2 linked regions of the Kluyveromyces lactis genome follow. The protein of the gene in region 2 purifies or fractionates together with the protein of the main gene of each other region. This does not show direct contact. Links are inferred from orthologs where the notes say so. Each region holds a gene or a part of one and is shown on either strand. Other genes may lie near its edges.

Region 1 (4,787 bases), on a different chromosome or scaffold from region 2:
ACGAAGTCCATATATTCAATTCATTTTCTCCTATAAAATGTCACCTATCGCACACTTATTGAATGCCAGTACCGGCACTGATTCAGGTAGTCATTTGCGCGATATCCATGGTCATCACGATAGTCACGATCACGGTTCGGAGGAGCAGGCTGTCAGTCCTTTGTCTCCTCGCTCGTATCCATCTCCTCGCAGCAACAGCAGTAGTAGCTGCGAAGAGAGTCAATCCTCAGCTGGGGTTCTAGCTAACATTCATACCGGACCGGCTTCCCCTCATGGAAAGGCATGTGTTGCGTCTTCACCCCTTTCCACCACTGGTATGAGATCTGCCTCTACGCCTTCTAGCTCTGACGAAGATACTGTTCATTTGCACCGCTGCCAATGGAAAGGCTGTAGTTTGGAGTTCACTTCTCCCGAACTACTTTATCATCATCTTTGCCAAGATCATGTTGGCCGTAAATCACAGAAGAATTTGCAACTGAACTGTCAATGGGGCGATTGTCAGACTAAAACAGTTAAAAGAGACCATATCACGTCTCATTTGAGAGTTCATGTGCAATTAAAACCTTTCGCTTGCTCCACTTGTAATAAAAAATTCAAAAGACCTCAAGATTTAAAGAAACATTTGAAGGTACATAACGAAGAACTTTCACTACTGAAAAAAAAACGTGGTCCGAAGCCATCCAATAAGCTGGGAAAGATTTCAAATGACAGATCCCGTGCTCATCAGAGATTCACTTTACCATCTATTTCTTTGGATAAATTTATTCACGAGGAGGTGAAGACTCAACAACCCGTGTACTCTCAACAATTGGCAGAAAAGATGGCCATCGTCCTGCTGTTACCTGTTAATAACAACAACGCAACTTCCCCTCCTTCTGCGTCTTCTGCTTCGTCCACTGCAGTTTCCCCGAACTTGGTATCGCACCATATGGTTCTTCCTTACCAAACCCAGCAACGTCCTCTCGTGGGTCACGGTGCTGAATTGAGATCCGCTGTTGGATTCTTCAATAATTTATCCATGGATATGTCTAGAAACTATGCTAACAATAACCTACCGACCGCTAACTTGGGTCCTAACCCGGTACCTGCACCACAATCATACCCACTAATCCCTAAGTTGCCCAGTATTTCAGCCAGGCCAAATGTTGGAGCTCCACCTCCGGTATTGTCCGTATTCAACAGGTTTGATACACATCAAACATCTCCTTCTTCATCATCATCAGCATTCTATCCTCAACACTACTCGAATAATTACAGCCTACACCAAAGAACTGCGCTGTTGGATGCTGAGGCTAACGAAGATATCCCCGAAAAGGACAACGTATCTTTGGAGGAGTCATTCACTTCGTTAAATCTATCCTCAGAAGAGCAAGACTTGGAATTATTCTACGAAACCTATTCAACTGTCAAGTTAGTTAAAGATTATTTGTTATGCGAACTTATGGAGGAGTTAGATGAATTCAAAGAGGAAGAGGAAGAGCAAGGCTTTACGTCATTTGATGAATTTAGTGACTCCAAAGAATGTGTCATTGAAGGAAGAATTCCGTCGAACAAGATATCTCTATCAAAATATCCTCAGGTTGTGATATAGCCTCGTTATAGTAGAATATTACTCCGAATTTTTTCTGCAATGTTATGACACATATACTTGATGACATGGTTTTGGGGCGGCAATCTCTTTTTTTTGTTTATAATTTTTTTTTGTGGATACAATTATAAGGTTAAAGCTGACAGTTTATATGTAATGTTTTTTATTATTTTCTAAGGAGTATGTACAACTATAATTCATGCATAGTTCCCGGTAGGTTTGATTTTGAGTTTTCTCTCAAGATGACGACAGCTTTTGGTTTCCCTTGCTATTAGATGCACTGATTATGAGCTCAGTAAAATGTCAACAAAAATTTCAGAACAAAACAGAAAAAAGTCTCAGTATGAGATGAGATGAGAAGAGGTAAGGTGCAATAAACTCAGCATTCGAATGCCACTTGCTCGGTTTCCAACAGAACCATATTTGAGATGTCTGAAGATATTCTAACATACACCGCGAACACCGATTCAGACGATTCAGATGTGGAACAAAGAGAAATCGAAAAGAAATACAAGACTTCTAGCGAAACGCCAGTAGTGCAACTCTACGATGGAGATGACTATGACAATGATGATATCAGGGAAACGAATGGGAATGACTTTCCTAACGAAGAAGATGAATCAAACCAGCTGTATTCGCCCGTTGTTGACATGAACTTCTTCACTCTATCCGATGAGTGTACTGAAGTTATAATATGCTTAGAAAAGAATCAACACCTTCTAATATGCGGTCAGTTCAATCTACAAATTATAAAAGGCGGGATTACATATAACAACGTTCATTATAACAGTGGTTATAAAAACTGGGAATTCTGGCATCCCGCTTGTAATGCAATTTCGCCAATAGTGTCTTCTTTTTATGCCGGTTGGGAATCTAAATTGTTTCTTAACCGAGAATATCAACATTTCACAACACAGATCGAAAGCTACGACTGCGTCCTAAAAATCAGCAATGGCTGCAATATAACAGAATTATCTAGTTTATTACCTGAGCTTAGAGATATGTGGGGTCCTTTGAATATTTCATTGCTACCGGGAATTGCCAGAAAGCAACTAACGTTCAACATTATCAGTAAAATTTCCGATTCTGTAAGAATATTGGATATATCAACCGAATGGTCAACAGTCATCGATGAAATGCGTATATTCCACGCTAACTCGTCACAAGATATGAGGGTCATGGTAATAGGAGGTAAGAACTCAGGAAAATCCACTTTGATGCGGCTTCTTGTCCAAAAATTTTTGCATAGTAACAACGATCTATCATATGAAGCCATACACTACCTTGATATTGATCCTGGTCAGCCAGAGTACTCGCCACCTGAAAGCATATCATGGAATAAAGTAGACCCGAAATCTATGTCCTTAGGCCAACATCTTTGCCAAGGAAGATTCACAACCATAAAACAGCATTTCATAGGATCCTCATCACCTCAGGATTGGCCAGAAACATACTCTAACGCTGTAGAATCACTTTTGAAAGAGTGGCAGACAGAGAATTTCATGGGGACATCATTTTTAAATATTCCTGGGTGGATTAAAGGATTTGGTGTTAAAATTATCAACCATGCACTTGACCATTTCAAGCCAACTCACATCATATTTCTATCTTATAATGGGCTGCCCTTTTCGTCCGAAATTAAAGTCCCTGACGCTTTCAGTACAACTCAGCGGTCAACTTACAAACCTATAATACTACAATTGCATTCTCCTGCTGTGGGTAAACACATATCCCATGCTTTACAAAGATTTAACGCAGCTAAAATCAGGCAGTTCAAGATTACAGCATATTTACATAAAAAATATGACCGAAATTTTGTAATCAATCCATTGGTCATGCAGAAACCTCAACTAACTTCTATTGGCAACCGCGGTATAGTTGGTTTTGAGTTTCTCCAATATTCCAATAGCTCTTTGTATCACGATGATATCAAACTATCTTTAGATGGGACGGTCGTTGCTCTTCATAGGGCAGATAGTACCCCAGACGTGCTATTCAAGGGCATATTCCCAGTGATGAAGAATTACTCAAAAATTAACACTGAATTTGTGGGACTTGCTTTGATTCATTCTATTGATCTTGAACAGTCCCTCATCTACATGTATATTCCTGAGAACCTCTTTCGGGCCTTAAGAGAAACGGAAAACAAATGGGTCTTAGTACGTGGAAAGACGGAAACACCCATCTGCGAGTTATACCCAAATAATGGCATATTCAAAAGTGAAGTTGATATTCCATACGTTTCTCTTTACCAAAAGAAGAGACATGAACACGTATGGAAAGTAAGAAAAAATGTGATGAGAAGAGGACATCACATGAAATGACATCATATTTATTACATATTTGTAGAATTTAAAGCTCATTCAGACCCATCTGAAGAATCGTTCCATCCCATCCTTTTGTTTAGTCTGTCATATCTAGTTCTATCCTTATCACTGACGGAGGGTTTTACTTTCTTTAAAGCGTTTTCGAAATCTTTCATATAGACAATTACATCTTCAGTTGGAGAGTTTGTTGTGAGATCTTCGAATTCTTTGTCTAGGTTGTTCTCCCCTACTGACATGATTTCATCAGTTTTGAAAAAGTTTCGTTTGAGAGCCAGGACGGATGATTCTCGGACCAGTGCGGCGATATCTGCACCCGAAAAGTTCTTGCAACGTTCATCATTAACAATCCTGTTTATATCTACGTCGTCTGCAATTGGAGTTCCGTTTGATCTAATCAAAGTTCTCATAATATCGACCTTTTCTTCGAAATTTGGTAATTCTATGAAAAGGGTTTTATCGAGTCTCCCTGGTCTTAGCATCGCTGGGTCTATCATATCTGGTCTATTCGTCGCGCCTACAACGAATATTCCTCTCCTATCGTTTAAACCATCCAATTCTGTTAGTAAGGTATTAACAACACGAGAAGATGACTCCGACAAAGACGCATCTCTTCTTGGAACGAGAGCATCTAATTCATCGAAGAATATTATACATGGTACGGATGCACGTGCTCTGTTGAATACTTGTCTTATTGCCCTCTCTGATTCACCAACGTATTTGTTTAATAGTTCAGGACCCTTGATGGAGATAAAGTTTGCTCTGGATTCATTAGCAACAGCTTTAGCTAAAAGAGTCTTACCACAACCTGGAGGTCCCCATAAAAGAACACCTGCTGGCGCACTAATACCAACTTTCTCGTAAAGCTCTGGTCT
Region 2 (5,138 bases):
ATCATCAAAGGTTTGGCAAAGAAGAGCCCGTACACAAGCTGATAAAAAGTGAAAAAAAGAAAAAAGACTTCTCTTGAAAAACTGAAAAAAATACTCCGATACGGGGAGTCGAACCCCGGTCTCCACGGTGAAAGCGTGATGTGATAGCCGTTACACTATATCGGATAATTGTTATACAGTTGGAGAAATATTAGACACAGTAGTGAAACTACAAATCACGTGTATTTTGTATCCAGGTTCATGATACTGGAAAAGGAGTATCTGTGGAGCTGATCACTGTCGCGAATGCTTCTACTCCTGTTGCTCAGTAATATGCTTTGGATGTTGATGTTATAGTATGTATTACAAATAAATGTGCTGATATAAACGGGTATAAAATTGTCCACAGTTCATCATCTTCTGAATTCCCTTCTTCTATCGTTACTATTCGAGTATCGATTGCTATTACCTCTACTGTTGTTATAATGACGGTTGTATTTGCCGGTATTACCATTATTATTATCAGAATAACCGTTGTTACTATTATTGTAGTTTCCATTATTATACCTAGACTGTTGATATCTGCTGCCCTGTGGCTGTCTCTGTTGCGAGTGCATATACTCTCTATTTTGTTGCGGTTGTTGAGCATAAGCTGTCTGTTCTTTATGGAAGAAGAAACTTCTGTAACCTCCAACCCTGGGCTGATATTGGGTAATCCCCGATGGGCCAACAGGCACAATGTTGTATTTCATCATGGAAGGATTCCAACGGTTACTGTATTTATAAATGATACAGTCTCGGTCCTGTGGGGTAAGCATTGGTTGAGGTGGGATATATCCGTTCAATACTAACGATTTACATCTACCCGCAACCACAGGCTGCGTATACGAAAGTTTTAGGAATAAATTTGTACTCAAATCTGGCAAACCACCCCCATTAATAGGACATATCAGCTTGGAGTTTAGTTCAAACCCTTCTTCAGCTTGTGTTACGAATCCACTTAAACCAGATTTGAAATGTCTAAACTCTATCACGTTAACGGGGTTTTCTCCATATAAATTCTTCATAAACAGGTCGTAATTCACATTCTTGTTGCTGATCAAAAGTGCATCCTTCTTCCTAACATTTCTTGCCTTTTCTGAATCAGAAAGCTTAGAATATTGTTCTCGAACTGTTTTCAGTAAACGTGTTTCATCTATAAATGGCAATAGTGCAATACCCTGCCAAGCCATCTTTTTACCATTCATATCCACTGGGAATTCTTCAGGATAGAAATCTATAATCTCAGAGTTTGGATCTGACATTAATGGTCTGAATATTTCGGGTAGTGCGTGGCCTGATGCTGCTGGTAAAACACTCATTAACTGTTCGTATGGTAAGAATGGTTCACCAAGATCAAAGTGAATATCTAGATTTTTTATATTCTTGAAATCCTGAGCAAAAGGAGCATAATGGTATGGATAGTACCAAGTCCAAGACGCACATCCCTGATAATAATATAATAAAACCCATGAAATACCTTCCACATAGCACCTAATCACATCCTTTTGCAGAGCTGGAATATCTTTTGCTGGAACATGGAATTTATGTTGATAGTAACGATCATGATATCCAGGTTCGTAAAGTCTAACCGACTCATCGGTGTCAATGAACCCTGATTTTACAATACCGGTGTGGATGACCGCTGGTGGAACAGTAGAGCCTTCGTCTTCATCATAATCGGCCTCATCATCCTCAGGTTCATTGGATGTTTCCTTTTCAGCAGAGTCAACATCTTCACTTTTCCGTTTCAACGACAATTCTTCTGCATTTTCCTCATCTCTCATTGCCATCTTCTTAGCAATAAGTTTCTCCTGTAAGCTGGTAGCAGCATCGTAGTTCGCAGTCTTCGACAGTTGCACGCTATTTTTCAATTCTTCCGATGAAAACTCGACCACACCGCTATTCTTCTCACTTTTTAGTTTCAAAGCTTTAGCTGCTTCGCCATCACCTTCATTCGCCAAATTAATTTCTTTACGCATATTAGCGAAATCCTTATTAGACAAATTCAAAGAGCCTTCAGCGGCGTTGCCATCAACATCATAGACCGGCATATTCTCCAACGGAATCATAAAATTTCTGTCGACCTTGCCCTGGGAAACATTGGGGTTACTTTTCAATTTCTTTCGCCTATCATGAGCCTCTTGCTTACGAACTTCCTGAATGTATTTCTTTTTGAAAAGATCTGTTTCACGGTCTCCTAATTGTTCAAGTAAAGCTTCTACAGGTTCCAAATTGAGTGTACCATCACATGTTAGGTAGGTTTTTGTTTTGGGCAACACAGTCTTCCATATATCCACCAAAATGTCAATGCTATTCTCTCTCACATCAAGACAAGGTAAATGCGGTAGGAAATCATTACCACAGAAGAAACACATGAAAACCCAATCGTCGATTGCTCGTTCAAAATCAAACTGGAACGATAAATGTGGAATCGCTAATTCTGCTGAAAGATATTCTCTTAAAACGCTGATATGGAGCCATAAGAATGGCTTTTCTGAATCTTGTTGAATAAGCTGTTGTTTCTCTTCTTCAGATAAATTTATCATATCTTGAGGCTTTGGTTTTTTATAGTTGTTATTGGCGAACACATCCTCTCTTAATATTTTGAAATGAGGTTCGTGGGTTGCTAGTCCCAAAAAGATCAAATCTGCATCTAACCCATATATACAATGTGTTGTATTTGGATTATATTGAGTGTCTGCTCTTTGAGATCTAATGAAATTCATTATTTTATGTTCACCTTCACCTGGAACAGTAGCGTCACTTATAATAATTTGTAAATTTTTCCACCCGGGATCAGTTGCTAACTTGAAACTTGTCCAATATCTTAAAGCTGTAGCTAGTTTATCCATAAATGGGGTACCTGGAGTAATTGCGTTTGAATCCCATGTCTTTTTACTTTTGACATTTTCATCAATCGTCTCACCATAGTCCTCTCTTTCTCGTAATACTTGCTCTCTGGCTTCATTTTGGAGTTTTGCATCCCTTGCACTACGAAACCTACGTGCTCTCTGTTGATTCATCTTCGCTCTTGGTGCAACACCATCAACCGCTATCATCAAGACTTTTCTTGGTCTGGCCATATTCAAAACGCGATTTGTGTACTCAAACACAGCAAGAAGCATTTCATCCTCTGTTTCAGGTGGTGGCTTATTCTCCGGATGTGAACAAGGGTGAACAATACCATTCATATCGAGATAAAGGTTATCCAACTCACCATTGGGATTGGCCGAAGAGTAATCAAGCGGTAGTTGAACACCATCTTCGATAACTGGATATTCTTCCAACACAGGAGAAATGATTTTAGGATATTTCCTAGACAACCAACGAAAAAAGGACGGAACACCCATTGTGAGTACCTGGCCTTACTTCTCGCTATTTGTACCAACTGCCTATTAGATTACAGTATGCATTCATCTGTACTTCTAAAGTTATGTTCATCTCATCGATTAATTTTACTTATTGTTTATTGTTACCCGGATAAATAACTCAGCTCATCAACGATGTAGTGACAAACCGCTTTGAGTAACAATAATACCAGTAATTGCTAAACACAGCGCTTGGTTCACTGTACAATAAACTCATCCAGCGATTCTATTATACAATCTTTCGTTTATTACGAATATGAATTTTATTAATGTTATAATACAAGTACTGATATTTAAGAATTGCAATAGCGTAAATAGCTAAGGTTACATCAATCTTTCCTGAAGTTCAATATCATCACCTCTGTTACTGTTTCTACCAAATCTAAGCCATGACAATCCACCGGAAGCTTCCATTGATTTGATATTGAGTGAAGGCGGTGTCCACCTCTTCAACATTAGCGAACTGCAGACCACGGACACGGAACTTAGAGCCATTGCAGCACTAGACAACATTGGATGTAAAGTGATACCCCAAGGAGCTAATAAACCCATAGCAATGGGAATCATGAATGTGTTATAACAGACAGCCCAAAAGAAATTCAGCTTCACTCTATAGAATGTTTTACGCGCAATATCAAGTGCATAAACCAAACCTTTTAACGAATTATTTTTATTATCCGAATCAAGAATAACGATATCGGCAGCTTCGATTGCAATATCAGTACCAGAAGATATCGAAATTCCTAGATCTGCCTCAACCAAAGCCGGAGAATCATTAATACCATCTCCGACAAAGGCAACCCTCTCTGTACCGTTGTTTTGGAGTTGAATGACAATATCACGTTTCTGCTCAGGAGTGACTTCACTGAAGACATCATTAGCGGATATGCCAAGTTGTTGTGCCACTTTCAGAGCAGATTGATGCGCATCTCCTGTGACCATGCAGCATTTAATGCCCAAATTTTGTAAATATTCTACAACAAAATGTGCGTCTTCTTTGACCCTGTCAGATATTTCAAATTTGCCGACTAAACTACCATCGATGGAAACATAAGATTCTGTTAAAGTAGAAGAAGCGATATCACTCAAACTCTCATCGGGAAATAATTTCTTGTTACCTATGGTTATTGTATGGATTTTAGAAGTATTTTTATCTGTGATGTTACAGGAAATTCCCTTTCCAATGAGAACTTCCTCATTCGATAAATCCAAATCGAAAATGCTTGATTTATTTACGTGGGAATCAGCATAATTGACAATAGCTTTTGCAACTGGATGTTCTCCTATTGATTCACACAATGAAATCATCTTCCAGTGTAAATCAGATACATCACTGTTATAATTAATGAAATTTTCTACACTCATCCGCCCCGTCGTGAGGGTACCTGTCTTATCGAACAAAAACGTCTGTAGAGCACTACACTTCTCCAAAACATCACCACCTTTGATGAGAACACCATGACTAGCACCTACACCAGTACCAACCATAATCGCCGTAGGTGCCGCTAGACCCAATGCACAAGGACATGCAACAATAATTACAGAAATAGACATTTGCATGCACATGAAGAATTTGCCATTTTCACTGTTAAAGATGAGAGGAGGAGTCTTCATCGTGTAACTCACAAGCATCCAAGTTATAAATGTTATTGCTGATAGTGATATCACAAACGGGACAAATATGCCCGCCATCTTATCAGCGTATTTTTGAATAGGAGCTTTAGATAACTGTGCCTTTTTCATCGTTGC

What was found. Proteins that work in one complex are often made in the same cells at the same time.
Region 1: the proteins of RAT1 (region 2) and GRC3 purify together in Saccharomyces cerevisiae (affinity purification with mass spectrometry; 3 studies listed by BioGRID, with this or other methods). This does not show direct contact. The link is inferred for Kluyveromyces lactis from reciprocal best matches to the Saccharomyces cerevisiae genes RAT1 and GRC3.

Annotation. Positions count from the first base shown.
Region 1 is NC_006041.1:80,479-85,265, forward strand, and holds GRC3 (polynucleotide 5'-hydroxyl-kinase), read left to right. Parts: upstream 1-2,016; coding exon 2,017-3,912; downstream 3,913-4,787. Other genes in the region: alkaline-responsive transcriptional regulator RIM101, read left to right, coding at 38-1,591; putative AAA family ATPase RIX7, read right to left, coding at 3,948-4,787. UniProt on the Saccharomyces cerevisiae protein: Polynucleotide 5'-kinase involved in rRNA processing. Required for the efficient termination by RNA polymerase I and the processing of the IST2 pre-rRNA internal transcribed spacer localized between the 5.8S and 25S rRNAs.
Region 2 is NC_006042.1:702,188-707,325, reverse strand, and holds RAT1 (ssRNA exonuclease RAT1), read right to left. Parts: upstream 3,372-5,138; coding exon 393-3,371; downstream 1-392. Other genes in the region: Cu(2+)-transporting P-type ATPase CCC2, read right to left, coding at 3,714-5,138. UniProt on the Saccharomyces cerevisiae protein: Possesses 5'->3' exoribonuclease activity. Required for the processing of nuclear mRNA, rRNA and small nucleolar RNA (snoRNA) precursors.